3 linked regions of the Arabidopsis thaliana genome follow. Each later gene encodes a partner of the first gene's protein in a complex. Each region holds a gene or a part of one and is shown on either strand. Other genes may lie near its edges. The genes, in order: CPSF73-I, CPSF160 and CPSF100.

What was found.
Region 2: CPSF73-I (region 1) and CPSF160 share a complex: the UniProt entries of both Arabidopsis thaliana proteins name them as parts of the CPSF complex.
Region 3: CPSF73-I (region 1) and CPSF100 share a complex: the UniProt entries of both Arabidopsis thaliana proteins name them as parts of the CPSF complex.

Annotation. Positions count from the first base shown.
Region 1 is NC_003070.9:22,471,701-22,481,776, reverse strand, and holds CPSF73-I (cleavage and polyadenylation specificity factor 73-I), read left to right. Parts: upstream 1-4,011; 5' UTR 4,012-4,116; coding exon 4,117-4,260; intron 4,261-4,352; coding exon 4,353-4,450; intron 4,451-4,757; coding exon 4,758-4,803; intron 4,804-4,892; coding exon 4,893-5,042; intron 5,043-5,179; coding exon 5,180-6,823; 3' UTR 6,824-6,847; exon of another isoform or gene 6,848-7,107; 3' UTR 7,108-7,147; exon of another isoform or gene 7,148-7,229; 3' UTR 7,230-7,510; downstream 7,511-10,076. Other genes in the region: AT1G61030 (WAPL (Wings apart-like protein regulation of heterochromatin) protein), read right to left, coding at 47-144, 234-381, 548-795, 971-1,647, 1,740-1,833, 1,935-2,063, 2,428-2,540, 2,754-3,093 and 2 more; AT1G61000 (kinetochore protein), read left to right, coding at 7,731-7,894, 8,149-8,367, 8,486-8,576, 8,644-8,823, 8,996-9,085, 9,166-9,273, 9,695-9,748, 9,916-10,030. UniProt on the Arabidopsis thaliana protein: Component of the cleavage and polyadenylation specificity factor (CPSF) complex that play a key role in pre-mRNA 3'-end formation, recognizing the AAUAAA signal sequence and interacting with poly(A) polymerase and other factors to bring about cleavage and poly(A) addition.
Region 2 is NC_003076.8:20,976,076-20,985,189, reverse strand, and holds the start of CPSF160 (cleavage and polyadenylation specificity factor 160), read right to left. Parts: upstream 5,186-9,114; 5' UTR 4,941-5,185; coding exon 4,609-4,940; intron 4,520-4,608; coding exon 4,373-4,519; intron 4,041-4,372; coding exon 3,887-4,040; intron 3,780-3,886; coding exon 3,644-3,779; intron 3,303-3,643; coding exon 3,157-3,302; intron 2,833-3,156; coding exon 2,737-2,832; intron 2,621-2,736; coding exon 2,568-2,620; intron 2,390-2,567; coding exon 2,258-2,389; intron 2,150-2,257; coding exon 2,098-2,149; intron 2,005-2,097; coding exon 1,885-2,004; intron 1,796-1,884; coding exon 1,664-1,795; intron 1,353-1,663; coding exon 1,224-1,352; intron 1,001-1,223; coding exon 923-1,000; intron 521-922; coding exon 380-520; intron 296-379; coding exon 201-295; intron 3-200; coding exon 1-2. Other genes in the region: AT5G51650 (uncharacterized protein), read left to right, coding at 5,941-5,982, 6,367-6,747, 6,790-6,987; YLS7 (trichome birefringence-like protein (DUF828)), read left to right, coding at 7,812-8,220, 8,587-8,861, 8,968-9,114. UniProt on the Arabidopsis thaliana protein: CPSF plays a key role in pre-mRNA 3'-end formation, recognizing the AAUAAA signal sequence and interacting with poly(A)polymerase and other factors to bring about cleavage and poly(A) addition.
Region 3 is NC_003076.8:8,047,936-8,060,167, forward strand, and holds CPSF100 (cleavage and polyadenylation specificity factor 100), read left to right. Parts: upstream 1-4,503; 5' UTR 4,504-4,614; coding exon 4,615-4,763; intron 4,764-4,841; coding exon 4,842-5,010; intron 5,011-5,088; coding exon 5,089-5,185; intron 5,186-5,387; coding exon 5,388-5,514; intron 5,515-5,615; coding exon 5,616-5,734; intron 5,735-5,837; coding exon 5,838-5,932; intron 5,933-6,015; coding exon 6,016-6,167; intron 6,168-6,252; coding exon 6,253-6,310; intron 6,311-6,456; coding exon 6,457-6,564; intron 6,565-7,444; coding exon 7,445-7,688; intron 7,689-8,055; coding exon 8,056-8,240; intron 8,241-8,616; coding exon 8,617-8,709; intron 8,710-9,258; coding exon 9,259-9,357; intron 9,358-9,444; coding exon 9,445-9,576; intron 9,577-9,665; coding exon 9,666-9,710; intron 9,711-9,792; coding exon 9,793-10,038; intron 10,039-10,110; coding exon 10,111-10,212; 3' UTR 10,213-10,530; downstream 10,531-12,232. Other genes in the region: AT5G23870 (Pectinacetylesterase family protein), read right to left, coding at 3-82, 702-831, 1,521-1,603, 1,920-2,064; AT5G23890 (GPI-anchored adhesin-like protein), read left to right, coding at 10,854-11,133, 11,550-11,624, 11,725-12,232. UniProt on the Arabidopsis thaliana protein: CPSF plays a key role in pre-mRNA 3'-end formation, recognizing the AAUAAA signal sequence and interacting with poly(A)polymerase and other factors to bring about cleavage and poly(A) addition. Required for antisense-RNA-mediated gene silencing.

The sequences.
Region 1 (10,076 bases):
AATTAGAATACTTAAAAAGGTAGTAAGGAAGATATAGATAAATAACCTTTCTGTGGATAGAAATGCAAGTAGAAGGGCAGAATATGCCTCCACGATCATCTTTTCCGCTTCCTTTTCGCTTTCTAAAACAGCTTCTTCATCGTCCTGAAACATGAGGAAGGAGCAGGTTTTAAGACATACTTTCTACTAAGGGCTATTTAAATTCGACAAGAAAACAATGATTAGATACCAACCAAAGTGAAAGTACTCGTTTCATCTTTGGTGTCTGCGGATCCTTTATTGGTGAGAAAGATTGAACATAAAAGAGGGATCATGTCTTGTTCACTATCTTGTAACCCTTCTGGATTGGTAATCGGAACACTAGCTGCCGCGAGCCTTGACCTGGACCAAATAATAACTGATTAGCGAATATTTTTCAAGACATGGGTACGAGTCAGATCATAATATTATGAAATCACGAGTTCCCCCCATTTGCATAAAAGACAATCAGTGACTATGTTTTCCTGAGTTGACATAAAGATGTAAATCGAAAAGAGCAGTTTGGTACCTGTTTATTCCGTTTTTCTCCACCAAGTTTACCAGTAGCCCCAGGATGGCAACAAGAAAATCTAATTCCTGGTCTGTGAGATGTTTATCTTTCTGGTGGCATGTCCCGGACTCCATCTGACTGTAAAGCGGAGATCTGGTGAAGGAAGGAAAGTGTCCAACAACTAATTCAGCCATGCTCTCCAGTCCTCCGCAGGCAGCAACTTCCCGACAACCAACAGAATTACCATTTGTTAGGTTCATTAATACCTGAAAATATGTTCAACAGAATCAGAACGTAGCAAAAGATCACATGATATCCTCACATATCTAAACAGATTAGCATAAAAGGTGACATTCCATTCTGGTCCAAACATATTTTCATTCCAGCTGCAGAAATTTGTTACATAACAGAAAAGTAATTGTTAAAAAGACTGTACATTACCTTCACGGCTGTTAAAAGGCAATCAGATAAAAGACAGAGACATCCTTTATCAATGTCATATGTTAAAGAAGGTTGCTCTGTTACATGGTGATCTCTATCACTTGATTCCTCCTGAGAATTTAAACCATGGTTTGATTCCTCCTGGCTCGAGAAGAGCTGAAGCGAGCGTTCATCTTTCTTATCTCTGTAGCTTCCCTTCCTCTTTTGACCTTTAGATTTCTTTTGCTTTCCTACTGCCCATCTGGAAGGTCCTGAATCTTCTAAATCAAATGAAAAAGGATCTTGACTATCCTCGAAGGATGCAAAGTTTTCAACTTTTTTACAACTGGATTCTCTAGTTTGGCTAGTCCTTGTTTTACTTCTGGAAATGCCACTACCCAATGAGGCTAATCTGCCTGCAAACGACCCAGTGTTGGAACCAGCTGTAGTCGTCAGCGTGCAGTGATCAATTGTCGACATTACACTTGATTGAGACCCCGGCTTTGGTGTCGTTGAGCAACCTACCAGGAATGCAGACTGATTTCTCTTGGATACGCTCAAACTTTTTATGGAGCTAAAGCCAGTGGTAGAGCAAGTATCTGAACTAATAATTGTCACAAAGCCCTTCTTAACAGCAGAAGCTAGATGTGGCTGAGGGTGAGGATGCTTTTCGTTCCTGTGAGCACGTAACTGAAGACCTGGTGTAATCATTCCAACCAGCCATCAGCATAAGAGATGATAACATACGAAGCAAGTCATGGTGGTAAAATCCAAATATAGGAATGGGTACCTGAAAGTATTTTGATGACACTTATCATGAGCTCTGTGAAAGACAGTCGGGATTCATGAGAACCCATGCTTTTATTAAGTCTGAGCAAATGAATCTGAAAGATATATTATGTACAGTTATTTTTTAGGTGCAAACTGCAGAGCTATTCAATACAAGCTATCATGAGGCTGGGAATCCAAAATAAATAAAAGTTACCTGGTTTTCTGTGCTGAGGAATGTAGCATTCTCCATGATTTTTAGACATTTCAGAAGTAACATCAGACTCTGCTTATTCAAGTCATCTTTTATATCCTCGACAGAGAGTGTGTCATGAGTCACCCAGCTCTGCAAACAAAATATGCAATAGAGACTCTTATTAAATACAGTTGCAAAGGTCCAGTAACTATTGACAACTTAAGTACAGAGTCTTTGCCACCACTAAGACAGACATCCAACTTGTCCACAACAAACGCAGTCACAATAACATTAAACTGTGTTACACAAACAAGAGAATTCTCTTGCCCAAGGACAAGAAAAGAACCTTGACTTGCAACGATTTTCAGCAATAAATTAGATTGAAATAAAACATGAACCTGAAGATAGCAAACAATTATAAAGCTACCAATCTACGACACTTTACACAAGTTATTGACGTCCTAGCCAAATAAAGACATATATAGCAAGATCCCTATAACATACAGGTTCACACCTCCATTACAGTGTGGCAATCCATAACAACATCAAAGACAGCATCAAGTCCTCCAAGTTCTCTCAGTTTCTCCTTGAACATTCCTCCAGATTTTTTCACAGTACCAGAGGTATCTGGATGGGGAATGATAATATCAATAATTAGAAATTTATAAATCAATTATAATCTGGTCGTAGGATTCTATTACCGCTGACACATTTGTTAAACTGATTCACTGAAGCAGATAACATAACTTTCCAATTCTATAACTCAATATAATATACCAGATGCGTCTTAAATAGTTAGCTAGTCATTGTTCCAGCAAAACAGACAGGAAGTTAAAGTACCATCAAAAGAGATTTTGGACAAGCACGCCTTCTCCATCACCAACAAAGCTACCCATTTCGTACTTAGCTCAGGCCTCATCCTCTCGATTTTATAGCTATCAATCAATCTCAACTCCTTGCAATTAACAAGAATTTCCTGAGCTCTGTCAATTATATCACAGGAGCTTAAATCATGCATACTGGCTGCATCACGTGCTGCATCAACATCCTTGATTATTGATAAGAGCCTAGATCCTATATTCCGCGGCTTTACTTTAGTACTGGCAGAAACCACAGGTCTCAACAGCTTAACCAAAAACTTGATGGAGTTGGGTGACTCCATAAAGTGATCATCTTGACCCTAGAATCATGAACATAAAACTAGTAAACAAGAGAAAAATGCCAATGGAGCAAGAGAAAAGAGCATCACAAGCAGATTTCACAATGCAAATAAGTTACTTACATCAGTAGTTAGCACAAAGAAAAGGGTAGCTGCAGCAAGATTGCTTGGTATGTCATCAAGGCAAAGACCCAAAATCGCATCAATTATGGACTGTGAGATCCTGAAATAACAAAATTCAGAAACTTTTAAAAGAACTCGACTTCAAACAAACCCTAGAAAGTCTAGAAAGGAAGATACTGAAAATCTTAAGTAAATAAACATACCCTAAAGCTCTCAAAGAGCGTCGCTGATACTGAGATTCACAAATCGAGAGTAGAGAGGACAAAGCAGCTCTTCTGATCCTAACTTTATGTCCTTTCTTCAACCCATCAAGAGCGAAGTTAACTTCGTCCTCATTCTCAATTAACTCGCCGAACTCTTGAGCCTCCATCAAAGTCGAATTCGAACCAAACCCTCCACCACCGTTTCTGGGTCTCTTGTTCCTCTTCTCAGAAAAATCATTATCCGAAAAAGTGGATCTTGAAGAATAATTCCAGACACAAGATGATTCTTGAGTTGAGAAATCAACTGGCTCGAGTTCTGGAGATGAAGAAGACGGAAAAATATGTTCCGCCCGCGAGACGTCGTCGTTTAACATCCCCGGCTTGCGACGGCCGTAAGTTCGCTCCATCATCGCCGAGAAAGCTTCGAATTTTCTCTTCGTTCGCAGATTTGAGTGACAAAATAAGACAAGGGTATTTTCGGTATATAATATGACTTTCTATATAAATATAATATTTTCAATTGCTATGTATTGACCGCATAGCGCAGTGGATTAGCGCGTCTGACTTCGGATCAGAAGGTCGTGGGTTCGACTCCCACTGTGGTCGTTTTTTTTTTTTTAAAGGCTTTTAGGGTTTGAAGATATACACTAACTGAAATTGCTGTACTCAGTTCTTTGAGTTTCTTCTTCTCTTGGAGGAAAATCGAGAAAGACGAAACATGGCTTCTTCTTCTACTTCTCTGAAAAGAAGAGAGCAACCAATTTCGCGAGATGGAGATCAACTTATCGTTACTCCGTTAGGAGCCGGAAGTGAAGTGGGTCGTTCCTGTGTTTACATGTCCTTCCGAGGCAAAAATATTCTGGTCAGCTTCTCCGTTTTGTTCTAATCAAGCAAATGTGTTTTGATTTTGTTGTTGGGGCATGTCTTATAGTTGATTTTGGTTGTGTTGTGCAGTTTGATTGTGGGATTCATCCTGCGTACTCGGGCATGGCTGCGTTGCCTTACTTCGATGAGATTGATCCTTCTTCCATTGATGTCCTCTTGATTACTCAGTATGTTTCCTTCTTCTTCCTCTTTTGGCTAATACCCATTAAGAAAAATTGAAACTTTGAAGAGAAAATGATAGTCTTGATTTGAATAGAATGATAATTTGAGCAAAATCTTCGAAGTTTAAGTTTGTTTATACAAAAACAGAAGGATGATGTGTAGTAGAGAGACCTTCTTGGATTAATTAGTTCAAGCTTGTAGGAGGCTAGAGTTTGTTCTGTCTCTGTTTGTCTACTTGAAAGAGTTTGTGTTTTGTGTAAGAGGTTTATTGGGTTAAGATAACATATAATGTGTTGATGCTTTTGGTTGCAGCTTTCATATAGATCATGCAGCATCTCTACCTTATTTTCTGGAGAAGGTTTGTTTCTCTTTTCAAAATGATTTTGTTTTTTGGGATGTGTTAAAACATAGCTGAGAACTAATTCAGGTTATTGATGTTTTGATCAGACGACATTCAATGGGCGGGTTTTCATGACACATGCAACAAAGGCCATCTACAAGCTGTTGCTTACAGATTATGTAAAAGTGAGCAAAGTGTCTGTGGAAGATATGTTGTTCGATGAACAAGACATCAACAAGTCTATGGACAAAATTGAGGTTAGTACTGCATTATATTCTATGACTATGTTTATACTTTGACTGCTCCACTAGGTTTGGGATAAGTTCAAAAGAAATTAAATCTGCTTCAAAACTGTGATTGTTGAGTTAAGGTTTATATTTGATTTCCTCTATAGGTAATTGACTTCCATCAAACAGTTGAAGTGAATGGCATAAAGTTCTGGTGTTACACGGCAGGCCATGTTTTGGGTGCAGCCATGTTTATGGTGGATATAGCTGGTGTCCGAATCCTCTATACAGGCGACTATTCCCGTGAGGAAGACCGACATCTGAGAGCAGCTGAGCTTCCTCAATTCTCCCCTGACATATGCATCATTGAATCCACTTCTGGTGTCCAGCTTCATCAATCTCGTCATATTCGTGAGAAACGCTTCACTGATGTAATCCATTCAACGGTTGCTCAGGGTGGACGTGTGCTGATCCCGGCTTTTGCACTGGGCCGTGCTCAGGAACTTCTCTTGATTCTTGATGAATACTGGGCGAACCACCCAGATCTACACAATATCCCAATCTACTATGCATCACCACTCGCCAAAAAGTGTATGGCGGTTTACCAAACCTACATATTATCTATGAACGACAGAATCCGCAACCAGTTTGCAAATTCTAATCCGTTTGTGTTCAAGCACATTTCTCCATTAAACAGCATCGATGATTTTAATGATGTCGGTCCATCTGTGGTAATGGCTACTCCTGGAGGTCTTCAAAGCGGTCTCTCAAGGCAACTCTTTGACAGCTGGTGTTCAGATAAGAAGAATGCTTGTATCATACCAGGTTATATGGTGGAAGGTACACTGGCCAAGACGATAATTAATGAACCAAAGGAGGTGACTCTTATGAATGGTCTTACTGCTCCGCTCAACATGCAAGTGCACTATATATCGTTCTCTGCTCATGCAGATTACGCGCAGACGAGCACGTTCTTGAAAGAGCTCATGCCTCCTAACATCATCCTTGTTCACGGTGAAGCTAACGAGATGATGAGGCTCAAACAGAAGCTCTTAACAGAGTTTCCTGATGGAAACACAAAGATCATGACCCCGAAGAACTGTGAGTCAGTGGAAATGTATTTTAATTCTGAGAAATTGGCGAAAACCATTGGGAGATTGGCGGAAAAGACACCTGATGTTGGCGATACAGTAAGCGGGATTCTGGTGAAGAAAGGGTTCACTTATCAGATAATGGCACCTGACGAACTCCATGTTTTCTCACAGCTATCAACAGCAACTGTAACTCAGCGAATTACAATCCCGTTTGTAGGAGCTTTTGGTGTGATAAAACATCGCCTGGAGAAGATTTTCGAGAGCGTGGAATTTTCAACAGATGAGGAATCGGGGCTTCCAGCACTGAAAGTTCATGAAAGAGTAACGGTGAAACAAGAGTCAGAGAAGCACATCTCACTTCAGTGGTCATCAGATCCAATAAGTGACATGGTTTCAGACTCCATTGTAGCTCTGATTCTCAACATCAGCCGAGAAGTCCCCAAGATCGTTATGGAAGAAGAAGATGCTGTGAAATCCGAGGAAGAGAACGGGAAGAAAGTTGAGAAAGTGATATACGCACTTCTTGTTTCGCTTTTCGGGGATGTGAAACTAGGAGAAAACGGGAAACTGGTGATTAGGGTCGATGGCAATGTCGCTCAGCTGGATAAAGAGAGTGGAGAGGTAGAGAGTGAGCATTCAGGTCTTAAGGAAAGAGTGAGAGTAGCTTTTGAGCGGATTCAGAGCGCTGTGAAACCAATCCCTCTCTCAGCTTCTTAGTAGCTTTTTAAAGTCATCGTTGAGGTATCTTAAATCATCATAGAGTTTTATCCATCTGATGATGTTTCTGTTCCCATGTTTAGTAATAGTGAATGATCAAGTCTAATGGATGTTATTTAAGAAGGTGTTTATTGAGAAACTTTGCTACTACCCTACTGTGATAATGATCAAGTCTTATGGATGTTATCAACTATGAGTTTTTAACTTTTTTAGGTTTTTTCATAAATCATTTTGCTGATTCGTGCTTTTCCCATATGCATTTTTCTATCATTATGCTGATCTAGGATATGGAAGCAAAAGCTTTGTGGTGCATCAAGTTAAGAGGTTTCTAAAGTTAAAAAAGTACTAGGCTTCTTCCAGATTCTTTGTAAGACATATTAGTGAGCCTTGCTTTTGATATTTGCAGTTTCATGAATACACGGTGTCGTTTGATGCGTTTCTACCAAGCCTCTAAAGTACAAGGCAGGTCTGATTGAGCTAAAGTAAGGTAGAAGAGAGATTGTAATGAGCACATTTTCTATTATTTTTCCACGTACAAAGTATACATTATTCACATCAGTGAATGTCTCTTGACCTCTATGTTTTGGCAAGATGTCTAGTGCATCAAGATATTAAGACCAAATCTCTACAATATTAAAATGCTTAATTTTTTTTTTTGTAGATTAAAGTTTCTTTTTTAATTTTATTTATAAAAGCTTCTACGTTCTACCGTATCCAAATATGCATCAATATCTGCAGAGACTGCAGTTTCATATAGGCGGGAAAAGCAAATGCAAAAAACAAATCGAACCTGACCCAACTAAAATCAAAGGCTCTCTTTTTTTTTTTTCATTTCTTTCCAAATTGTCATTTTCAGTTTCTTCGAATCCAGACACAACAAATCCGAACCTGACCAAAACTGAAAACTATGTCAGCCTACGAGTACCCGAGGCTCTCTCGTTCCGACATTATCACGGCGCTCAAGGATGCTCAAATCGCTAGCGTTACAGAGACCGATCTCAAAACCCCAACTTCCGACTTTGTCTCCGAGCTTTACACCAGAATTCTTATCTATCTCGACGCCCTCGACGAGTATGTACTCCTCAAAACCCTAGTTCCTCTCTTAGCTCTTCACTCAATTTTACCCTCGATTTTGAAACTCTTCGTCTAGTTTCGAGCTAGGTCATCGAATTCTGTCAGAAATTATGTTAAATATTGAATCTTTGGGATTTTCTATTTTTGATTGTATGAACTGCTAAGTAATTTTGAAAACCCTATTTTTTGTTTCAATTTGGGGGAATTTCTGATGATGCTTCTTTTTTGAATTGCGTTTTTCGACATTGTAGAGAAGAGAAAGGGCAAGTTGATTTTGAGGCTTTGGAGCAATTGGAGAATCCAGATCATCATGCCACTTCAATGCAAGCTATGAAGCTTTATTGCAAAGTGAAAGATATGTTAGAAATGCTTGATTGTCCATTACCAATTAGTTTCAAGGATCTCTTACGCCCTGAATCATCCCGAACCGAGTTTTTCATCAGCGCACTTTTGAACTATGGTCTATACAAGTATGTCCTTCATGCTCTTAGTTCTTCTCTGTAGTATCTATTTCGATGCACCAAGAAGTTAAAATAGAGAGTTCTTATTTGTCCCACTTGATCTTCTTTAATCTTTTTTTCGTACCAGAGACTCGAAAATGGATCTTATAAGACCAAAGGCAGAAGAGTTGGGTCTCCTTGATGAGCAGCGAAAGCAGTGTGAGGCAAAGGTTGCTCAGGTAATGCAAGAAAAATATGTATCCCATAGATAAGTCATTTATCTTTTTCTAAAAGCTGTACATGCAGTTGAATGCAGAGATTGGAGAATTTGATGAAGCCGTTGAGAGGGACTTACCTTTTGTCCAAGAGCTAGAAGCGAACATTGAACAACTGAATAAAAAAATATTGGAACTAAATAATCAGCAGATGTCACTGCGAGCTACCTTCCAGAAAATGAGAGAGAAGAGTACACAGATGGATAACGAGGTACGTAACCGCAGGATATGGTGTCGAGCTCCTTCCTCAAACTAAATTGGGTTATTTGTAATTTATTATGAAGTTGGTGAAGAAACAAATTTTGTTTGTCAATTAGGTGATTTGCATATGCTTGAACTTGAGAGGCGTTTTCTGCTCCTGACATGTGTATTTCTCTCTACAGATTTCCAAAGCAGAGTTTGATCTTGTGGAAACTGTCCAAGAAAATGCAAACCTCCGCTCACAAATTGTTCAATCACCGGACAAATTGCAGGTATATTTTTATTCCAACTAGTACTAGTCCTAAGATAAACTTTTGGTATACACTAGTATAAACGTTTGTTGTGGAGACAGGGAGCTTTAGAAGAGAAGAAACTAGTACTTGGGGAAACAAAGAAAGCTGAACAATCAGCAATGGTAACTTTCCAGGAAAAGGCTGCCATTCTTGAGGTTTTTGAAAAGGTATCTAATGAAAACTCTAGATTGTTACTAAATCCTGTCGCTTAGCAAGTAGCTAAATGCATTTACGACATTTGCAACTTAATGGTCACTGCGGATACTGCTCTCAAACCAGTTTTTAGAGAAGGATATTTCAAGTCATTATTCTTCTAAGTTTGGTGTGTTTATTGCTCTATCACTTTTGTTCATACTTCATGAAATTCTGTCCAGAAGCTTTAGGAAGAACTTCTTTTATTTTGTTGTATAGTGGATGAGAATGATCCCAAGATGGAAAATATTAGATTGAGACCTTATTCTGTGTTGTTACTTCAAAATTTTCTTATGTTTTGTCTTGCAACAGTTTTATGCTTTATTTTTGAGTCGAATAAGTTTTGCTTTAATATTGAGGTAATAAAGTTTATTCAACTATGGTTGCCTTTTGCAGGCCTTGAAGAAAATTTTAAAGTCATCTTCGCAACTGCAGTTAATAAACGAACAGGTGACCAAGCAAAAAAACTCCTTTCCTCTTTCATTGCTTATAGATTGTGAACCATGTATTGTATCTCTAGCATGTGGCAACACACAGATCCTTCCAATTATTGGAATGAGATCTAATGTGTCTTTAGATTTATCTTTCATTTTTATGTATATTTGATGATGTTACAGGTAACCAATGCGAAAACGGTTGAGAAAGAATTCAAAGCTCTTAAAGATAAGCTGAGTGAGGATGGGGTAGCATACAAATCACTTGAGGCGAAAGTGGTTGAGCGGGAAAGAATAGGCAAGTGTTGGTTTATTTCTTCCTTCTTCAGATATTGTTTCTGAAT
Region 2 (9,114 bases), on another chromosome or scaffold:
GCCTGAAAAAGAAAGATGGAAGTTAATATTACACAATATTGGTATATCTTACAGCTGCATGTAGTAGAAACAGCTCAATGACTGAAAAGAAGCCATGGATAGAGCTTACATGGGGATTATAATAAGATAGATGGGTGTAAAGGAAAAAAATACTTCTATGAAAAGCATATCTCAAAAGACATAATATGGCAGCTAATTACCTTCCAAATAGATTTCCAGCAGCAATTGTTCTTCCCTGAACATAATAGTCAACACTCTCAGTGACTTCTGTGAGAAGGTCAGCAGTTTCAAGTACCTGAAAAGGCAAACATTGTAGGTATTTCTATGGATAATAAAAGGATCTAATGAAAAACAACCAACACACAGAAGCAAAATATACCATTGTGCGAGCCTCCAAACTGATAATCAAATAGGCATGATATTCATCTTCATCAGCAGCCATTTTAGAAGAATCAGCATTATGACCACGGGAGCTCTTGTGATAAACTGTCCATATTCCTTTGCACCCTGGAAGTTCAACCTACCCACAAGAACATCCGGAATAGAGGTGCTTAAGGATTAAAGAGACTAGGTCACATACAGAGCATTACTAGGAAAGATCGGATACATCCCCATTTTTCTACAGTGAGCTCCCCCTCTAAGTTCTAACTTGTACTTTTCACATAACAATTTCCACTTTTCTGTCTATATCAATACTAAACAGATAAATACCCCAGTGGTGGATAGTAATTGTGAAAGATATAAACCCGCGAGAGTGTCGTAACAATGCCTTCTGTTCAGAGCTCACTACAAACTAATGAATTTTAAATGAAATCCTCTCCATGCCATAGTAATGGGAGTAAGGGTTTTAAACTAAAAGATCAACAAATGGACGATTCCCAATCTTCTCATATACCAGACACAATTTGAGATATACGCATACCTCAGTAATCATTTCCGGTCTAATTGACTGCCGAAGAACACATAAAGCACCATTCTTCCCATGACCAGAACAGCACACCTAAACGCCAAAATTCAGATTTTTAGTTTGGGGGCTACAGTTTTTAGACAAATATGAGGCAAGCATGTCAACAAATAAAGTTGTGGAACAAAGGATTTCATTGTTACGTAAAAGAATACTTCAAAACTAGACATTACTAAATAACAACCCTAAGCAAGTTATATTTTGTATAAAACAGTTCCATGGCTAGTATAATATAAGAACTTCTACCCAAACGGCTCACCAATTCATAGTTGCTCTGTTTGGAAACCCCAGTGGCGTTTGCATCAGCATTAATCCTTAAGCCATACGCAAAATCTTTCACTGGGCCAACATTAACTAGTGAATCTCTCACTGCAAATGAAAACGATTTCTGCATTTATTGGAAAAGAAAATATGAGAAACTTCATGGAAAGGAGAACATAAGCTACCTAACTCTTATTGATACAATACATGTTGCACAAAGGAAAAGTCTTTCTTCGGTAGTTAAACTAATGAAGTCATTTTCCGTTCAACATTAATTTTTTTAGACTGAATGTTTGCAATTGAAAGCACACATAGATAGGAAGATGGAGAATGTTCTGCAACGGAACCCCAATTCATATAGTAGAGCCATCTAATTTTTCCAAGATTGAACCTCAACAGAAAATTCTACGAAACTCTAACCAAGACAGAACTTGTTACCTGTGCTGAATCAGAGTTATTTGGAGTTGAACCAAACAATGAAAGCTCCTCATTTCCAATTGTATCTTGGAAAGTATCAGAAGTCATCCTCAAACGTTTTGCTTGATGACCCTCACCTTCAATGTCTTCATCCTGCATAAATTTAGGAAATTTTCAAGTTCTGGATTAACAATTTTAAAAAGAAGTTACTCTGACCAGCCTAAGAAAGATTAAACTATCACCTCATCTCTCAAGCCAGGTAATGATGCTGCAGGCCCAGATCTACAGGAAAATTGCACCAGTAAACTGTCTCCCAACCGGCTACCTAAAAAGAAAAGGGAATTTCCAACACTAGTAATGTCCTGCAAGAAATTTGGTATATCATCATAGGGAATCTCTAATCGAACAGGATCCAAATTGAAGTACAAATATGCTGAAAGAACATATTGACTAACCGAAGCAAGCACAGAGGCTTTTGATTTGGAAAGATCAAGTCTCTGTACAGCACTTCAAAAAAGAAAGTAGCAGTCAGTTTCACATATTTTAAACAAAATAAGTTGCAGCCAGCTTTACAAGCGTCAGAAGATTTTTTTTTAAAGAAGATCAAAATACTACCGCCCATCATATATAAGAGTCAGCAGCAACAATTCCCCAGATTTTGTCGACAATAGGGCCACATCGTTCGATATCCAGGTTCCATGGGCAGCATCAAGCTCCACACTGAAATTTGATGCAGGCAGTTCTTGACTGAAAGAAATCAGACGCACACAGAGATAGAAATGTGGTTAACAGTATAAACAGAGTTTTACAAATGTTGAAAGTTGATTCTAAGCTTTAGGATTCTAAACTAAGACTGAGGTAACAAGATTATATCCATAAGCATGAAGCAGGTTTTGAAGAGTGGGGAGGTGCGAGAAAACTGTACCTGCTATCAGCTGAGGAGGCATAATTGTTCAGTGCCAGAGCACAGGAGGCTGACTACAAATATATATGGTATCCAGATGTGTGAGTAACTGTAGAACTTTGAGGTGGAGTGGCTGGAATTGTTGAATTTTAAACAAGAAACAACCAAAAGCTAAGTAATATAAAACTACCTGACTATGATAATGGATTGTATTTGCACACAACACAAGAACACCTCCGATCGGAGATGGTACTGCAAGTAGTTTGTAGGCATCATGGGGCAGATTCTGGAAAATACCAAAAGAATGGGAATAAGTATGATCAGGGACTAACGTTTGCCGAAGTAACTATTTCAGTCATGAAATAGCTTGTTATTTTAGGAAATTTTTCCTAAAGAAAGATCAACTCTTTGAGCATTCTAAACAAAAAATAGAGCATCGTCATAGCTGATTGGAAAGTCTAGTCATGTAACAACAGTGGATATTCAATAACCTTTTAGATGACTTCAATTTCTACCCTTAGCTTACAATATAGTTAATAGTGCAACTCAAATATTTAATTTCTTGGGAAGAGATCTATTATAAGATACAAAGAGGAAAATACGAACATACAATAGCTGACCAGATGACTGGGTGTTGTTTTAATGTCGAATTGATACTAAGGGCAGAAAGCACGCAAGTATGGTGCTTCCATGAAACTCGCCCAGCCCAAGTATGCTCTTCTTCCTGAAGGATGACAATTACAGGCTCAATATAACCTGAAGAAGACACAGGATGCAAAAACACATAATCAAAAGAAGCACCACTTAGTTTATTCTTTATGCCTACTGGGAAAACTAGAATATCTAAAATTTCAGACAGCTAGTTATTGAAAAATCAAAGAAACAATACATTTCCTCTTGTTTCAAACTGTAATCATGACCAGAATACATCAGTTGTCGTATTGAATCTACAAACAACAACTTAGTAAGCTAGATCCATTCAAGGACACAAGATTCGATGCAAGTTGAGCAGCTAAGAAACAATCATCATAATATATTTATGATTAACTACTGATTCAGAGATAAGTTTATGAAGAAACCTTGCTTGCTAAACCTACCATGTAGAAAAACAAAATCTTTGACGTGTTTCATTTCCAGATCACGCAAGTTAATTATGTAAGATGATTCAACTCGAGCAGAAACTGTCCCTCCAGAACTGAACGCATCATCATCTCCAACTAGTCCAGAACCAACCTAAAACCCAAAATAAAGTTCATAAAAGAAAAGAATGAAGGTTGGAAATTTGTAGCAGATAAAGCGACAGTTAAGATGAAGTTGATTAATAATGCCAAAACAAAAACCTGGGAAGTCTTGAGTATGATCATCTGCAAACCATAAACAAGAACGCCGCCACATCTGCCTTGAGGATCCACTTTTACCAAAGGGCCTCTTGGAAAAGACTCTCTTCCTCTTTTCAGATGAAGCCAATCTGGACCCTCAAAACAATGCATCGAACTGAAAAGGAACCACATATCCATTATTATTTGTTGAAGTCATGTATAGGAGTCAATGGTACATAAATTAGATAACTAGAAGAAACAATCAGACATAGACAATAGAACGCTTCAGTATATGATCCAATACTACGTAACTTGCATCGCTAGAAACAATAACAATGCGTAAGTAAAGACCAAAACTTTGAGAAGTATAAAACAGTTAAAACAATAGTTGGACACAGAACATCTCGTATATAGGTCAAAAGAAACAATTGAGAGGAGACAGAGCTGAAACTAAAGCTGAATTCATTTATTTATTTACCAAAACCAACAAAAGCAAAACACTCTTACGTCATCCTAAGGCTGTGAATTGAATCATCAAACTCAAGAACTGAAATTTTGGCGTCGCGAAATGTCAATATAATCGAATCTCTTCCCTTAGAAGAATTACCACCTCCCATAGGAAGAACCGCAATTGACTCAACATTACCGTGCAACCTACAATCCAATACCAATCACATCGTCACTTCAAAGTCAAAGTACCAAAATTGGAGTAATTTAGGAGGTAATTGTCAACAAACACGTACCTATAATGGCACACGAGCTCGAGAGAAACACCATAGACACCATCCATAACTCCACCACGCTTAGCAAGCTTCGGATTCCTCAGCTCCTGAGTATTCCCTTCCTCTTGAGCCCTAACGATGTACACCTCAAGGATATTTGCGGCGGTTATAACGACGTTGGGCAAAGGACCAATACCTCGTTTAGGATTAGGCCACTCAGCTTCAATATCATCATGAACGGAAACAATCGGAATCTGTAGCGTTGAATCGGAGAGAGAGTGGGTGATATAGCCGGAAGCACAGTTCTCGACGCCGGTAGGCCAATGCATCATCTTATAGGCCGCGAAACTCATCTTCTCTACCGGAATCTGGGATTCAGAGATTCTAATTCTAAAAATTGAAATTGAACTAAGAAGATTGGGAAGTGAGTGTGAGAGCAATTTAGGGTCTCGATTTTGTGAACATTAAAAGATCAAATCCTTAAACCCACGGGTTTTAATTTTAGGTTGGTTTTTTTTTTTAAGGGGAAACAGTATATACTCTTTATTACGAGTTTGGTCTTTACGAATTTCTTTTCCTTTAGTTTTTTTTGGGGATTATTTGTTTGCAAAAAGAACATGAAATATTTTGCGAAATCCGTTATATGTATCAAACTTGTATTGTCCAAAAAGTAATACATTTTTAAAAAAATAAATGTAATGTTCTGTTTTTAAAAGCATTAAATCAATGATGATGTGGATGCATAAGAATTGAGAAGAGAAGAGAGGAACTTGTTATGAACTTTCTGATTGGGACACATATACACATCTTTGGTCAAATGATGTTTTTCCAATGATCTTTATTTTGTTTATAATTTTCTATATCGTTTGTCAACAAATAATGCCCAAAAAAAGAGGTATTTCTTATCACTATCTATGACACACCAAAGCCAAAGGGAAGATAGTCCAATCTTTATTTAATACCCAATATATACCATGAAACCAAATTTCTTCTAGAAATATACTACAACATAAAAGTAGTGGATTTTGCACCATGATTTTGTTTTTGCAACATAAAAGTATTAGAAAGTGTTATCAATCATTTTGAGTTTCATTACTGCATTAAAACTTTATATATCGAAATATATCATTTTGTAAAATATTTTTGTTTTCCTTTTTAGTTCTAAAAAAGATCCTTAGTATCAAATTTCCCCAAAAATCTTTATACTTCTAATAAAAAAATCTCAGCAAAAATATGTAAGAGATAAACGTATTTATTATTTATGTTTTAGATTGTGTTTTTGTAATTAGTATTTTAACCCCTTAAACAACTTAGAGACGATAAAAAAAAATATAATTTTCACTTAGAAAGAGGATGACAGTAATTGTTTTGGAGAACAAGGGGATGCCTTATAAGGTTTATGAAAACAAATGCTAATAATTAATTGATTTAAAGATACGTTCATATAATATTTCTTATTAATTGTTGAAAAATCTTGAAAAGGAAAATAACCAACTTTGGGCTTCCTCTACTTCTCACCTCTTGTCCTCATAAAATAAGAAACCTCCTGCAAGTCTCTGTGAAACGATTTTGAGTGTTCCTCCCCCATACAAGACGACAACAATGATAGCTTTAAGTTTAACCACCTATAACTACTCTTTTTACATACTTCTTCTTCTGCTTCATCCTCTTTTTCTCCAAATTTTTATCTTATTTCTCATTACCAGAAGAAAAAATGTCAAGGAAGAAAATTTTTACACTGTGCTTGTTAAAACTATTCACAAAGAGATACTCTCTTAGGCTCCAAAGCCTCGATTCCTTTTCGAGGATTTTTGGCATCCTTTAGTGGCCAAAGGAGTTCAACGTGTGGTTCAGGAGAGGAAAGAGGGACTTGAAGCTCAAGGGAAAGAAGAGGGAGTTGAAAAGGTTCTTGTGGAGAAGGAGAAAGAAGAGGCTCATGTCTCATGGGAAAAGGATGGATCTGTGTCTGTTGCATACACATATGCCATTCATCACTTTAACCTTGAACGTGACCTTATCAACTACTCCAAGTGGACTGTTTCTGCACCTGGTAACGAAAATGACTACTTTGATACAAAAATCCTTGAAGAAGAAGTTGGCATTATCTGGGATCTCAAGGAGAAGAAGAAGGACAAGAAGAAAGAGGAGGAGGAGGATGACGTGGAGAATGACATAAGGAAGCTTATTTCTCTGTGAATCAAGTTTGGAAGTAAAATCAAACTAACTACTGCAGATTTAAGGAAACTGGCAAACGACAAGCAGCAACTTAAGAAACTTCTGAGAGAGTTTGAGAAAAAGAACGATGAGTTTATTGAAAAGTTGATGAAGGAGAAGAAGCTTGAAAAGAACAAGCGCAAGAAGGGGAAGAAAGGGAAAACGTTTATTGTTAATCGAGAGTGAGGATTTTGATTTATTTTCAAGTTAAGTTTGATATAATAAAAATCTAATAGTCTAACCAAATGTAGTTCGGTTTAGTTTAACTAATAATCTAGTTCAATTAAAAAAGTTGGACATACACGATTAAACTAATTATGAAATATAACCGTAATAATTATAATATCATGCAAAATGACCAAATCAATAAAAAACTTCAAAAAAGAAAAAAGAAAAAACTCCTAAATTGTTTAGTTTATTTTTTGTTTAGTTTAATCAAAATGAAGAGTGAAGATTTTGATTTATTTTCAAGTTAAATTTGATTTAATAAAAATCTAACAGTCTAACCAATCGTAATTCGATTTAGTTTAACTAATAATCTAGTTCAATTAAAAAAGTTGAACATACACGATTAAACTAATTATGAAATATAACCGTAATAATTATATGAATTATAATATCATACACAATAACCAAATCAAAAATAACTTCAAAAGAAGAAAAATAAAAAACTCCTAAATTGTTTAGTTTTTTTTTTTTTTGACTAAAATAAGTTTGACTTTAACAATTCATAACATTGTTCTTCCTTCCACGCTTCTCTCTCAAACTCCCAGATCTTGTCGATTTATTTATTCCTCTCCAAAGCAAAAGCTTCTTCGATCGTCCTTGTCTCGTTTTCAATTCTAAATGTAAGTTTTTCTCTTATTGATTCCTTTTTTCACCTAATAGAGATTAGTAAACAAATTGTAAAAATCGAAACTTTATTGTGATTTAGCGGAACCCAGTTAGATATGTAATCCATCAATGAATGATTGCTCTGTTTTTTTTTATAGGTTTTGTGCAGAAAAATCATGACTTTGGCTTCTCCACGAGTTTCAAATTCAAAGACGACTGTGTTGTTGTTTCCTCGAAAAGTTTCTTCAATTGCATTTGCTATTGGTGGATTAACTTCTTTCGTCATCTTCGCTTCTCTGCTTCTTTTCACGTATCCCATTGGTTCCTCTGTTACTGACTATTTCTACAGAACAGAGACCACTCAAAACGTCCAGTTTCACCATAGTATCCATGATCCTGATCGTAACCCATCTCCTGTTTCTAGCTCAGAGTCACCACCAGTATTGACACAAGATAGTGATGATAAAGTGCTTCCCAAGGGATCTCATGATTCGAATGATGTTAGATTAGGTGAAGAAACAAACTCAGGGAAGTCTTCAAATGTTTCCATTGATGAAGAAGCTACACAAGATCATGTAGAAACAGGTACTGTTAAGTGATTGCTTAAGTTTCTCTAATTGTTGTAGATTAGTGTGCAAATTTATGTGGAGTAAGTTAAGTAGCTATTTAATGATGATTTGACTTAATTACTCTTGAAGGATCACTGAGACAAAAAACCAATGCTACTAATTAATGATGCATTTAACTCTTAAGTCCTTAATCTGGAATCTTAATGACCTTTGGACTATATAGTTAGGTACCTCCTTTATACTAATAGTTATCTGATTTGGTAAAATATAACTACCTTTTGACAATTATGTCTCCTTCATGTCTTCTCTCAGGATTTTTTTGAAATTGTGTTTATCACTTTTCTTACTGAAGCTTTTCTGATTTGCTTTGACCATTTTGCAGAATGTGATTTATATCATGGTAACTGGTTTTATGATCCGATGGGACCGTTGTATACAAACAACTCTTGTCCTCTTTTGACACAGATGCAAAACTGTCAGGGCAATGGAAGACCTGACAAGGGGTATGAAAACTGGAGATGGAAACCGTCTCAGTGTGATCTTCCGCGTTTTGATGCTAAGAAATTTCTTGAGCTAATGAGAGGCAAGACACTAGCTTTTATAGGCGATTCAGTAGCTCGTAATCAGATGGAGTCCATGATGTGTCTTCTTTGGCAGGCAAGTGTTTTCTTATACTTTGTGTCACTATATAGAGCTTCTTTCTTTTTCCAAGAGTTTGTTTTGTCTGTATGATTAAACTTTTGAATGATGTTGTTGTTTTCAGGTAGAAACTCCGGTTAACCGTGGGAACAGGAAGATGCAGAGATGGTATTTCAGGTCATCATCGGTGATGATAGCTCGGATGTGGTCATCTTGGCTGGTCCATCAGTTCAATGAACCGTTTGGTTTTGCTACAGATGGTGTAACTAAA
Region 3 (12,232 bases), on another chromosome or scaffold:
ACCCCGTTGCCAAATTGTGAATCTCCCGCAAATGAAGCTCCGTCGCAATACCTTAGCCTGACTTTGTTCCAGTTGTAAAAATCTGTTTACAAAATAATATATGTTACTAAGACTTGTTTTTTTATGTTACTAAAACTTTATATTAAACGAAAATTAGAATAATTATTCAGTTGTGAGAAAAAAAAGAAAAGAATAATTATTCAGTACAAGTCCTATAAAGCATTATTGATTATTGTGAGTGATGTTCTAATAAAGTCACAGCAAAATTTGACTCAAGACAGACTCAAGACAGACTCAAAACTGGACTTCACAAGTTCACATGTCCAGTTATAAATGACAGTTGTGCCCTCATGAAAATAATACAATAGCTCGAGGAAGGTAGGATAAATGAGTAATTTGATGTGGCTTAAGGTAGAACGATAGCGTGTGCTCGTTAGGAAGGGGACAAGGACAACAAAGAAAGAAGCAAAGCCACATCATAGAAAGAGATAGAGCCAAAAATATTATTTCTAACGATTAGTTTATTTTATTGAAAAAAGCTGAATTTTAACAGAAACATTTGAACTATCATCACGTGAAAGAGAGACCACAACCACAAGCAAACATGTTCGATTTCGATTAATAAATTATTATTGGATAATGTTGCCATTTTACTCATAATGCATGGGTTTATATTAAAATAAAATGAAATTAAGAATGACCTGGATTTTGAGAGGCGTTATTGCTCAAGACTCCAGTGAAGACGACGGTCTTGCTCATATAACGTGTCGAGCCTCGACGGGTCTTGGCTCTTTCCACACATGATGCTATATCATTGCACCATCCTCCTCCCTATAACCATTTTTTACTTGTAGTAAAGATTCAAATAATCTTGATAGTTCTCTATATAGACAAATGAGTGGTCGATTGAATAAACATAAATGTGTTTCTGTTTCGTAGAAAAGAACTATAGAGAGAATGTTATAAATGCGTGTCATAAAGTGAGAGGCGTGAGACACGATCCAACTAGCTCGAGAGTCGAGACATGATAATGCTCTAAAGTTCTTAAAACGGCGCCGTAATTAGTAGTTTTCGGGTATTTAAGTGTGTACATAACTAGAAAACAAGTATTACCAATCTACCAGCTGTCACATTTTAAAATTTTAATCACTTGATTTCAAATCGTTATCAAGATTTATTTTAAGAATTTGACTAATAATTTGTAGATGACTAATACACATAAAATATTTATATCTTCCCTAGGATAGCTGGATTCAATTATTTGCGTACTCATGGAGTTGGTTACAACACCAAATACTTTAACTAGGCAGTGACCAATAAGAAAAAGAAAAAAAACTAACTCACTAAGCAAATGGTTGGCTGATTGATTTTCTTGGTAGCAAATGATTAATCCCAACCATTTTTAAGAATAACAATCGTTTTGTGTTTTAATCATTTTCGAATTAATTACAGATTTAATTCTATGACGTATATAAAAAAAAGTTAATTAGAGAGTTAGAGTAAATGTAAAATTTAATTACCTCAAACTGCAAAATCCAATTGTTTGATCCAGCACCAAACCCTCTGTCTAAATGATACGCCGGTAAGCTTCCGTCCAAGCAAACTACACAAAATGTAATTCCAAATGTATATCAAAAGAAAGTGTGACATATATATATATATATATATATAATTATATATATGTAAAATCTTATTTTTCAACGTGAGAAAACGATAGCTAATAAAGAGTGGTTTATGTTAGATGATGTTGCGTGACATGAGGTTAAAACAGTGAAACTCACCGCAAAAATAATAAATCAATATCAATCTAACTGAATTATTCAGTCTCATTTATCAAGAAAATGTTTTATCAGAAAAAAGTATGTCAAGAAAATAATATAATTCTATGAACCAAGAAAAAAAAGGAGTGTGAGACATACAAGCACCGAGAGCAGCGGCGTCTCGAACCAGTGTCATGCTAACACGCCGCCCTGGTTCGCCGGAAACAAGCGGAGGAGAGAAAGACACGTAGACAACTAGAACCATAGCCGCTGTTAGATCGAGGAGCCGAGTCGTCGTCTTCATTGTTACAGTTTTGGACGCTTCAATGGTGAAAGAAGGAGACTGGGAATGAAAACGGCGTCGTTGAGTTCTATGCCTGTTGTATCAAAGGAAAATAATTGATTTGGGGATTTAAGAGGGAAATGGAAAGGTTTATAGTATTTATAGATAATAAAGATTTTGTGGAAAGTAATTCATTTGGAGAAGAAAGGGAAAGGAGAGGTCAAGTTGGCAAAGAGGTAAGAGAAAGAGAGAGATTTATGATATTGATAGGCACAAAGAAGTTTTTGCCATCTTACAATTTGTTTTCCTTTCTATGAAAAAGATTGATTGTTGTTACCAATTGTTAGAAATCTCTTATCATCTTTAAAAAAAAAACTCATATCATATCTATGCATAAATATGTATGTATAATTCACCACATGGAGAGACTCACTTATTTTTCATGTGTATGTGTGTAAAGAGAGACATATCTGACCCAAAAAAATAATCTTTGATTTGTTATTGTTTACATTAATTTATTTATTAGAAATATAAAGTCCACATGATATTTTCTTCCTTAAGAACTTTAGCTTTAAAAATAGATGAAATTTTTCTGTTGAGCTAAAAGATTCATTTCCCTCTATACATTCAGATTTCTATTTTCGTTTAGTAAATATTTCCTTGTAATTCTACTGTGGTCCACCATTGTAAATTCATTGTTTATGTTTTTGTAAGAATTTTCAATCTGTAAATGTATTGAAATCCAATTTCTGTATTGGTATTAAAAACAAATTTCAGTGACAGCCACAGGCTCACAAAAACAGTTCTACACTACTACTTATCAGTTTCACACGAGAGCTAAGTTTAGTTATGTGCAGTAGACAGCATAGGGCGTAGATAAGGCCAAAAAACAAAAAACAAATGATTAAAAAAAAGTTTTTTTTTTTGCAAGAATAACCATATTTTGATACTTTCTTTTTATTTATTTATAAAAAATGTATTGTATTTTTAGATATTTTTCTAAGTATGGAGATGGGTCTTGATGGGTGGGTCACCAGCTGATGAATTAGAATCGAAAATCACATTCTTAGGTGTCTTTTGGTTTAGGTTCACCGAATCTTCTTAATCTATCTTTAAAGAACCAAAAAAAAACACACACAAACAATTGTCTTCAATCTCTCTGGTCATTTTTCTTATGAAAACAAGTATAATAATTACATTTATTTACACTCTTTAACTAATCAACCTATTATTACCTAACTACAACTTTCATATTCATATCAAGAAAGAAAGGTTTGATAGTTAGTTATGGTTGTTATCCTTAGCCATTATGATTTTGGTTTGGTCCTCACGGGTCCTCCTTCACCAAATGCATATGTTTTTTTTTTTTTTTTTTTTTTTTTTGTGTTGCCTTTGAAGTGAAGCTATCACAATTTTGAATCAAAATGTTGTTTGGCTTTCTAACGTGCATCAATAAAATCAGGAAGAACTTATCATTCGTCACAATCAACATACCAGCTACTTGTTTCTTATTGTCCATCATATTCCTAACAAATGATATATATAGTTCATCTCGAACTATTGAATTATTAAGTATTACGCAACACACCTATGTCAAATGATCTGAACTTCGATACTATATCAGAATTCAAATACGTTTAATTCAAAATTAACTGAAAGTGAATTCATTCATTAATATCTCTTATTTCATAGAAGAGATTTCCAACATTTTTTTACCATTGTAGTGATCTTTTAGTTGCAACATTTACTAATTAGTGATAAGAGAGCACACATGTGGGAGAATTAGGCACGTGTGAAGAGCTAAAGAGAAGCATGAGAAGAATAAAAGAGTATAAATAGGGATATTAGAGAGGAATTATAGAGATTATCCTGCGTGATCATTGATGTTGTGAGGAGAATTAGGGCTTGTGTGCTATGTTCTTGATGATAAGAGATGAGCATTGTAACTCCGATCTTATCAATATAGGGTTTTGATTCATTGTAATTGGGATTTACGGATAATAAATACAAAGGTTTATGCGTAAGTTCTTATCAACTTGTAATGGTCTTCTGGTTGCACCATATGCTCATAGATCTAGTGTATTTGGTACAACTGCTTAAAAGTTTTTGATTTACTCTAGTATATTTAACGGAGATTTGCCTATTTTTCCTTAAGGGTGTGTTTAATGTTTTCATGTTGAAACAATGAATGAAGTTTCATGTAATTTTAAATGAATGAGCAATCATAATGAAACCGATCTACTTTGAAGTTTGAACATACAATAGAATTGACTCATATGCTTATAATGGACTCACCATCTATGTTTCACTGCTACCACAACATTTTTTGGTAAAAGATTCACTAATCCCTCTTTGTGTTGGTTAAAAAATCAAGGTAAAGAGAGAAAAAATTTCAAAGATTATATGTACCAAATGAACAATTTGAAAAGAAAAGGGTTATTTTAGAAGTAAAAGGAAATATATGGACCGGGGAGGTTATTATTACAGAATTAAAAAACCCTCTTTCACGGTGGCTTCTTCTTCTTTAGTTCATCGGAGAAATTTTAGGGTTTATATCGGCGAACGGAAAAGATGGGTACTTCGGTGCAAGTGACTCCTCTCTGCGGAGTTTACAACGAGAATCCTCTCTCCTACTTAGTCTCCATTGATGGTTTCAACTTCCTCATCGACTGTGGTTGGAACGATCTCTTCGACACATCGCTCCTCGAACCTCTCTCCAGGTTTCTCTATCCTTATTATCTACATTTCCAGAATTCACCAATCTAATTTGTTTTGAATTCGATTCTTCTGGTTTACAGGGTTGCTTCTACTATAGATGCAGTTTTGCTTTCTCATCCAGATACACTTCACATTGGTGCTCTTCCTTATGCTATGAAGCAGCTTGGACTCTCCGCTCCTGTTTATGCTACTGAGCCTGTTCATAGATTAGGTCTCCTTACAATGTATGATCAGTTTTTGTCCAGGAAGGTGAGATTTTGTTAACTACTGGAGTGGTTATTTTTGCGCAATTGTCTGCATTGTAACACGATGATCTTACTGTTGCAGCAAGTATCCGACTTTGATCTGTTTACACTGGATGACATAGATTCTGCTTTCCAGAATGTGATCAGATTGACTTACTCTCAAAATTACCATCTTTCTGGTATGTGGTTTTAGTGATTTCTAGGCTCTATAGCAAACTAGAAACAATTGACACTTATCTCAAGCAAGTTTGATCTGCATTATCTATGATCTCATATCGGGAAGGAGTTCTTTGACACACATTGAGTATTTGGTTGTTGAAACCTAAGTTATGACTTCAAAGATTGTTAGGATGTCTCAAGGTTTTATCGTTGCCCTATCAGGAAAGGGAGAGGGTATTGTAATTGCTCCTCATGTTGCTGGACACATGCTGGGAGGTAGCATCTGGAGGATAACAAAGGATGGGGAGGATGTTATATATGCTGTTGACTACAATCATCGGAAAGAAAGGTACATATGTTCAGATTTTATCTTATTTGAAGTTCGAGTAATGTTCATAACAGTAAGTAAAGATGTGGACTCGTGATACTGAATTGTATATCTTAATTCAGGCATTTGAATGGAACTGTTTTACAGTCTTTTGTTCGGCCTGCTGTTCTGATAACCGATGCATATCATGCTCTTTATACCAATCAAACCGCAAGACAGCAAAGGGACAAAGAATTTCTAGGTTAGCTTGTAGCCCAATATGTGTTGTGTATCTTCTATAGTATTTAAAACAGCCCGCTTCTAACTGCCAGAAACATGTGTGCATGTCCCCATTTATCATTCAGATACCATTTCAAAACATCTTGAAGTTGGAGGAAATGTTCTATTGCCAGTAGACACTGCGGGTCGTGTCCTGGAACTTCTCTTGATACTTGAACAGGTAATAGAACCGCTTTGAATGTATCATGCTCTTAGTTAATGTTCAGCTGTTTTTTAAAGACTGGATATTGATCAAACCTGCAGCATTGGTCACAAAGAGGTTTCAGCTTTCCCATTTATTTTCTCACGTACGTGTCATCTAGCACAATTGACTATGTTAAGAGTTTCCTCGAGTGGATGAGTGACTCCATTTCAAAGTCCTTTGAGACTTCACGTGATAATGCCTTTCTATTGAGGTAGATTTTCTTATAAGAATGCCTTATTTGTGCCGTCGTTTGTTTAGAATACAGAAGACATCACATGAAATTTAAACACATGCAGGCATGTCACTCTGTTGATAAACAAGACTGATCTGGATAATGCTCCACCTGGTCCAAAGGTTGTTTATAAAATTATAAGTAACTCATTAGTGTTTGTTAGTACATAGAACGTGGTGGATTTATTATTATTTCCTGTCTTTTCAGCTGATAATAGAACTAGATTTTTTCCTATTATATGTTGTAGTGACTAAATCTCATAATATAGGTTGTTCTTGCTTCCATGGCTAGTCTCGAAGCCGGTTTTGCTCGAGAGATATTCGTGGAGTGGGCAAATGATCCCAGAAATTTAGTCCTCTTTACTGAAACAGGCCAGGTATGTTTTTAGAACCCACATACGTTGAGGAACGAAAATTTATTAGCATTGCTATAAAGACCTGATGGTAGATTCTTTTCCTAGTGCTGATCAGCTAGTTAAGTGGATATATGAGAATCTTTTTTGTCTTCTGATCTGAATAAGAGTTCCCCCATTTATGTGTGGATATTTACCCCCAATATGTACACAATAGGCAGAGATTGAGTACCTTAAAGCAGCATTATAATTACCACCAAAGCCTGGCTTGCTCCTTTAGGATAATCTCCAGAGCTTTCAGTCTTGAATTTATCAATTAGTTACATCCAGTACAAAATAAAGGGTCTTAGTAGACTATCATATTAATGGAATTGACACCACTATGCACAAACTGTCTAATTGGCCATATCATTCATCTCAAATGAACATAATTTTTTTTTGTAACCGCGTACTTTGTTTATTTTTCTTCTAGCGAGACATCATCCTGTTCCCTGAAATATCATACTTTTAATTAAAATTCAATCTAGACAAAAATAAATTTATTCAAATAAATAGTTTGGAAACAAATGGAAGCTTTGGTTAATTATTCACGCTTTTCTCAGTTCTGTGTGACTATGCTTTCTTGTCCATGTCAATCTATCCAGAAAACAGAGCATTACGGAATTATTAAGTTTGAAATACCAGTAACACCGTAAATCCAAGTGAAATTATCGAAGTTCTTCATCCAATTTGTTACCTTTGCCATTGGTCGTGTTCCTTAGTTGCGATGGCGATTATACTTTCCATGTGTCCATTCATAGTTCACGTGATCTAAGATTTGCAAGATGTTTCGGTTTGTAGTCAATCACATAAAACTAAACTGCTGTTAGTTTGATTTTTAATTGTCATTTGCTTCTATTTGCAGTTTGGCACTTTAGCTCGTATGCTTCAGTCAGCCCCACCTCCAAAATTTGTTAAAGTCACCATGTCTAAGAGGGTTCCTTTGGCTGGGGAAGAGTTAATTGCATATGAGGAAGAGCAAAACAGACTGAAAAGGGAAGAAGCTTTGCGAGCTAGCCTCGTTAAAGAGGAGGAAACAAAAGCTTCCCATGGATCCGATGATAATTCAAGTGAACCTATGATCATAGATACCAAGACTACTCACGATGGTAAATTTTTTCTTATTTTATATAACATTTTATTACCCTTGAATATTCTGTGGCCTGTAACTTCTTATTTTTCATGTAAACTTTAACTTAATTGAAGTATCTAGTACTGAAAATGGCTATGCACATAGTACCCTCTGTAATGTACTGGTTAGTTGGTTTTAGGAGGCATTTATGTGGTTATCTTGAGTGACCTAGAAGCTACATTTAGAAGTCTCACAATACATTTCTGGGTAATTTGTTTAGTTTTTCACAGTCCCACAATATGTGTCTGTTTCAATTAGACCTCTGGCTACCGTTGTTGATTGCTCTTCTTTCCACTACATAGTGGTCTGCAACTGACCTTTTACATTTCTGACTACTCTTGCAGTTATTGGTTCTCACGGGCCTGCATATAAAGATATATTGATTGATGGATTTGTTCCCCCATCCAGCAGCGTAGCTCCAATGTTCCCATATTATGATAACACATCTGAATGGGACGACTTTGGGGAGATTATTAATCCAGATGACTATGTGATCAAGGATGAAGACATGGACCGAGGAGCAATGCATGTACGTTCCTTGAATTCTGGTCTTGGTCTTGGTCTTTCTTAGCTCTTGTTATATTTGCAAATTAGACCTCTTAATTTCCATGATGTTTGCATAGTGGTGGTTCCTTTTACGATTTTTGTATCAAGAAGAACAAAGATGTAAGAAATCTGCATGATATGCTCTGAGGATTTGGGATACAGATAGGAAATCTTTTGCCATAAAGTTGCTTAGGCTCTTGATTTGGTATGAGTGCAGTTCTTCAAATGAGTGCACTGGTTCTACAGTTCCATCTTTATATTTTCCTTAACAACTGATTGCTTACTAGTAAAGGTTTAGGGTCATTCTATGTAGAGTCTTGTGTTGCTTATTAAATTTGTGATATAATTTTCCATTTCAGAACGGAGGTGATGTGGACGGAAGGCTTGATGAGGCAACTGCTAGTCTCATGCTTGATACAAGACCTTCGAAAGTCATGTCCAATGAGCTCATTGTAAGTAGACTCTAATTATATCCAAAGAACAATACATTGATAGAGATTTTGTCTCAGTTAATGTCCTCATTTGTTCTCCCTTTCTAGAATCTCTGATTATTGTTATAGACTGCTTATCAATGATAGGCACAAGGAGTAGTCTTCTCACTTAGAAATAGAGAGATAGGAATTCTCATTGACATGGCGTTGTGCCTGTCAAATTTATCTTCATCTGATGATATGCATACAAGAAATTTATTAATTGATCTTCTAATTAGTTATCACGGGAGACCTTGCTAATCAGATCTTTAGCACGATAATTCAACTTACAGATATTTTGTTGTTTGGATTAATCGGTCTAATTTTCTTCTTGTTATTGAACAACTTTTGTGTTCTTACTTTTACCCACTTGATCTTATGTCATGTAGAAGTTTCAGAAGGTTATTCTCAGAACGTAGGCCTTGCCTGCTAAACAAAACAATATGGCTCTTTAGTCTTCTTCTGTCTATACCTAACTGCTGTCTAATTTCCCTGATAAATGATTTAGTTTGTTCTTATGCTTTTGCACAGGTGACTGTTAGTTGTTCACTTGTTAAAATGGACTATGAAGGTCGGTCAGATGGCCGCTCAATCAAGTCAATGATTGCGCATGTTTCTCCTTTAAAACTTGTACGTTTCTCTCTCGTCTTATATATATATAGTGTTAAGCACTGAACTGGAAACTTGCGGTGATCTAATACTATATATCATGTGAAGGTTTTGGTGCACGCGATAGCTGAGGCTACAGAGCATTTGAAGCAACACTGCTTGAACAACATCTGTCCACACGTGTATGCTCCTCAAATAGAGGAAACGGTCGATGTGACTTCTGATTTATGTGCTTACAAGGTAGAAATTACTTAGAATTAGGAAGATCCTTTTTAACTCATGGGTTTTGAGTTGTGTGATTGAATTAACCCTGTATGGTGATACATCAGGTCCAACTTTCTGAAAAGCTGATGAGCAATGTGATCTTCAAGAAGGTACCTTTTATTTCCGTGACTATTTTTTTCTTCTTTTCCGATTTGCAACCAATGTCTCTGAAGAATGATGAAATAATATCAGCTGGGAGATTCAGAAGTAGCTTGGGTGGATTCCGAAGTAGGGAAGACAGAGAGGGACATGAGGTCTCTACTACCGATGCCAGGTGCTGCTTCGCCACACAAACCTGTTCTAGTAGGTGATCTGAAAATCGCAGACTTCAAGCAGTTTCTGTCGAGCAAGGGTGTTCAGGTAGAATTTGCAGGTGGAGGAGCTTTACGTTGTGGTGAATATGTCACTCTACGAAAGGTTGGACCGACGGGTCAAAAGGTAATTCAAAGCAAATACTGCATTTCTTACAACAAATCAGAGAATGACTTATATATGTTGGGGATTGTTCAGGGAGGAGCATCGGGTCCACAGCAAATTCTGATAGAAGGACCGTTGTGTGAAGACTATTACAAAATCAGGGATTATCTCTATTCTCAGTTCTACCTCCTCTGAGCATGATATAGAAAAAAAATGAAGCTTCTTCTCATTTTCTCAACATTTTTCAACCACTCAACATGTAATCTCGTATAGTTTATTGCCTTGCTTATAACCCTCAAATCTTATAGATTAATGTGTTAAAAATGGCAATAGCTTTTTGTAACTTTTTTGTACTTGTCATCTTAGTAGAAGCTTAAGTTGTCATTGGATATATTCCACTCCTATTTCGGTAAAGCGGTAAACTAAAACAGTAAAACGTGATAAACTCTCTTCTTTGTTCCTTGTATGTTCTCTCAAAAGTTTAAAATGAAAGCGAAAACACTTTCCATTCAAGAGCTTTCAACACCTGGTCTTGGCTTCGTGCTGACGTGGCATCTAGCTTTTTTTTTTCACTTGTGAATTAAACCAACCATATGTGTTAAACATGGAAAGATAAATAAAAGCAATTAGGTGGTTAGGTGTGTTAGTGTGAGGCTGATCACTGTCCAACGCTCTCCCTTTGTGCAATATTCTGTAACGAAACCAACCAAAAACACAGAATACATTTGATACAATTACTTTAATTCCAATTAAACCCTAATCCTCCTCTACCATTCTTCTACTGACGATTCTCTTCATATTTTCTTATCCTCTCTTACTCTCTCTACAATCAAACCATGGCTTCTGCGACCGCCACGTGGACACCTACCTCCCTCCAGCTTCGTCTCGCTTTGAGCTCCGGCGTGCGTCGGAAATCTCCCGCCGTTTACTTACGACCATCGCGATTGGCTAGGAAATCGGGTTATGGAATTGTCTGTGTTTCGCAGAAGCCTGAAGTTGATGCGTGGACCGGATCGGATTCGTCAAAGTCGTCGGCTGATAATTTGGCTGGGTGGGATGATTCCGATAACGATGACAAGAAGTCTTCCAGAGTTAAGAAGAAGAGTTTGATTGAAGGTATATGCGGATGAACATCTGTTTTTGGATTCTGATTTTATTTTTCAGTGTGATTCGGAGTTTTCGAGGTTTCGTAAGAACCAGCTGGTGAAATGTTTGATTACACAATGAAGCTAAAACTATATGGCTGCATAGTTTACAAGTGTAATTTGGTAGGAGCCATGAGTGTTGTTTTCTTATGGATGTACTACACATAATCTTTAGATTGAGTTGATGAACCGTATACGCCGATTTGTTTTTGTGGTCAATTGTTATTGAGAGGTTCGCTAAACAGCGCACATACTCAAATGGTACATTGCATGTTACGTTGGAGTTTGGTTAAGTCTCTTTAGCATTTTGATTTCTCTGTTCTGAAGCTGTTTAGTTTACCGGTTTTCTTGTGGACTAATAACAATCTGGAACTAGTTTGCTTTCAGGTGTAGTTGGGGCTGGAGTGGCTGGAATCATTTTGTTTCTTGGGCTAAGCTATGCAGCAGCATCTTTTAGCAAGCGTAATACTCCTTCTCTTAAAGCTATTCAAGCTCGTTTCAAGTGCCTCTTTCAGAATTGTTTGTACTGATTTATTGTAGGGGAATCATCTTTTGAGCGCAGGAACAAAAAAACAGGAAATGCATTCGTTGACTTCTCAGCAGGAAAGCATGATTCAATCATCTGATGAAATTTCTAGTGATGAGATTAAGGTAGCTAACAGTGAGGAAAGCAATCTTAAGGACGAGGATAAGAGTATAGAAAGCAATGATGTAGCTCAGAAAAGTGATGAAGGGTCTGGCGAAGATAAACTACTTGGTAAGGAGACATCGTCATTTGATGGTGTCATGACTGATGAAGCGGATGCCACTGAAAGTATCCCCCAAAATACTCCTGAAGCAGATTTGATGGTCAATGCGGAAACTGATCCTGAGACAGCAGAAAGTGAGAAAATAATATCTGAATCTAAGTCTCTGTTAGACTCATCCACTGAGCCTATTCTTCTAGATGCAGAAAGTAGTAATCTTGTGGGCGTGGAAAATACAAATTCTGAAGATCCAGAGAGTCTCCTGAACACTGAACCAACCAATGTGTCTGATTTAGAAAATCATGTTAACAGTCAGAAGGAAGA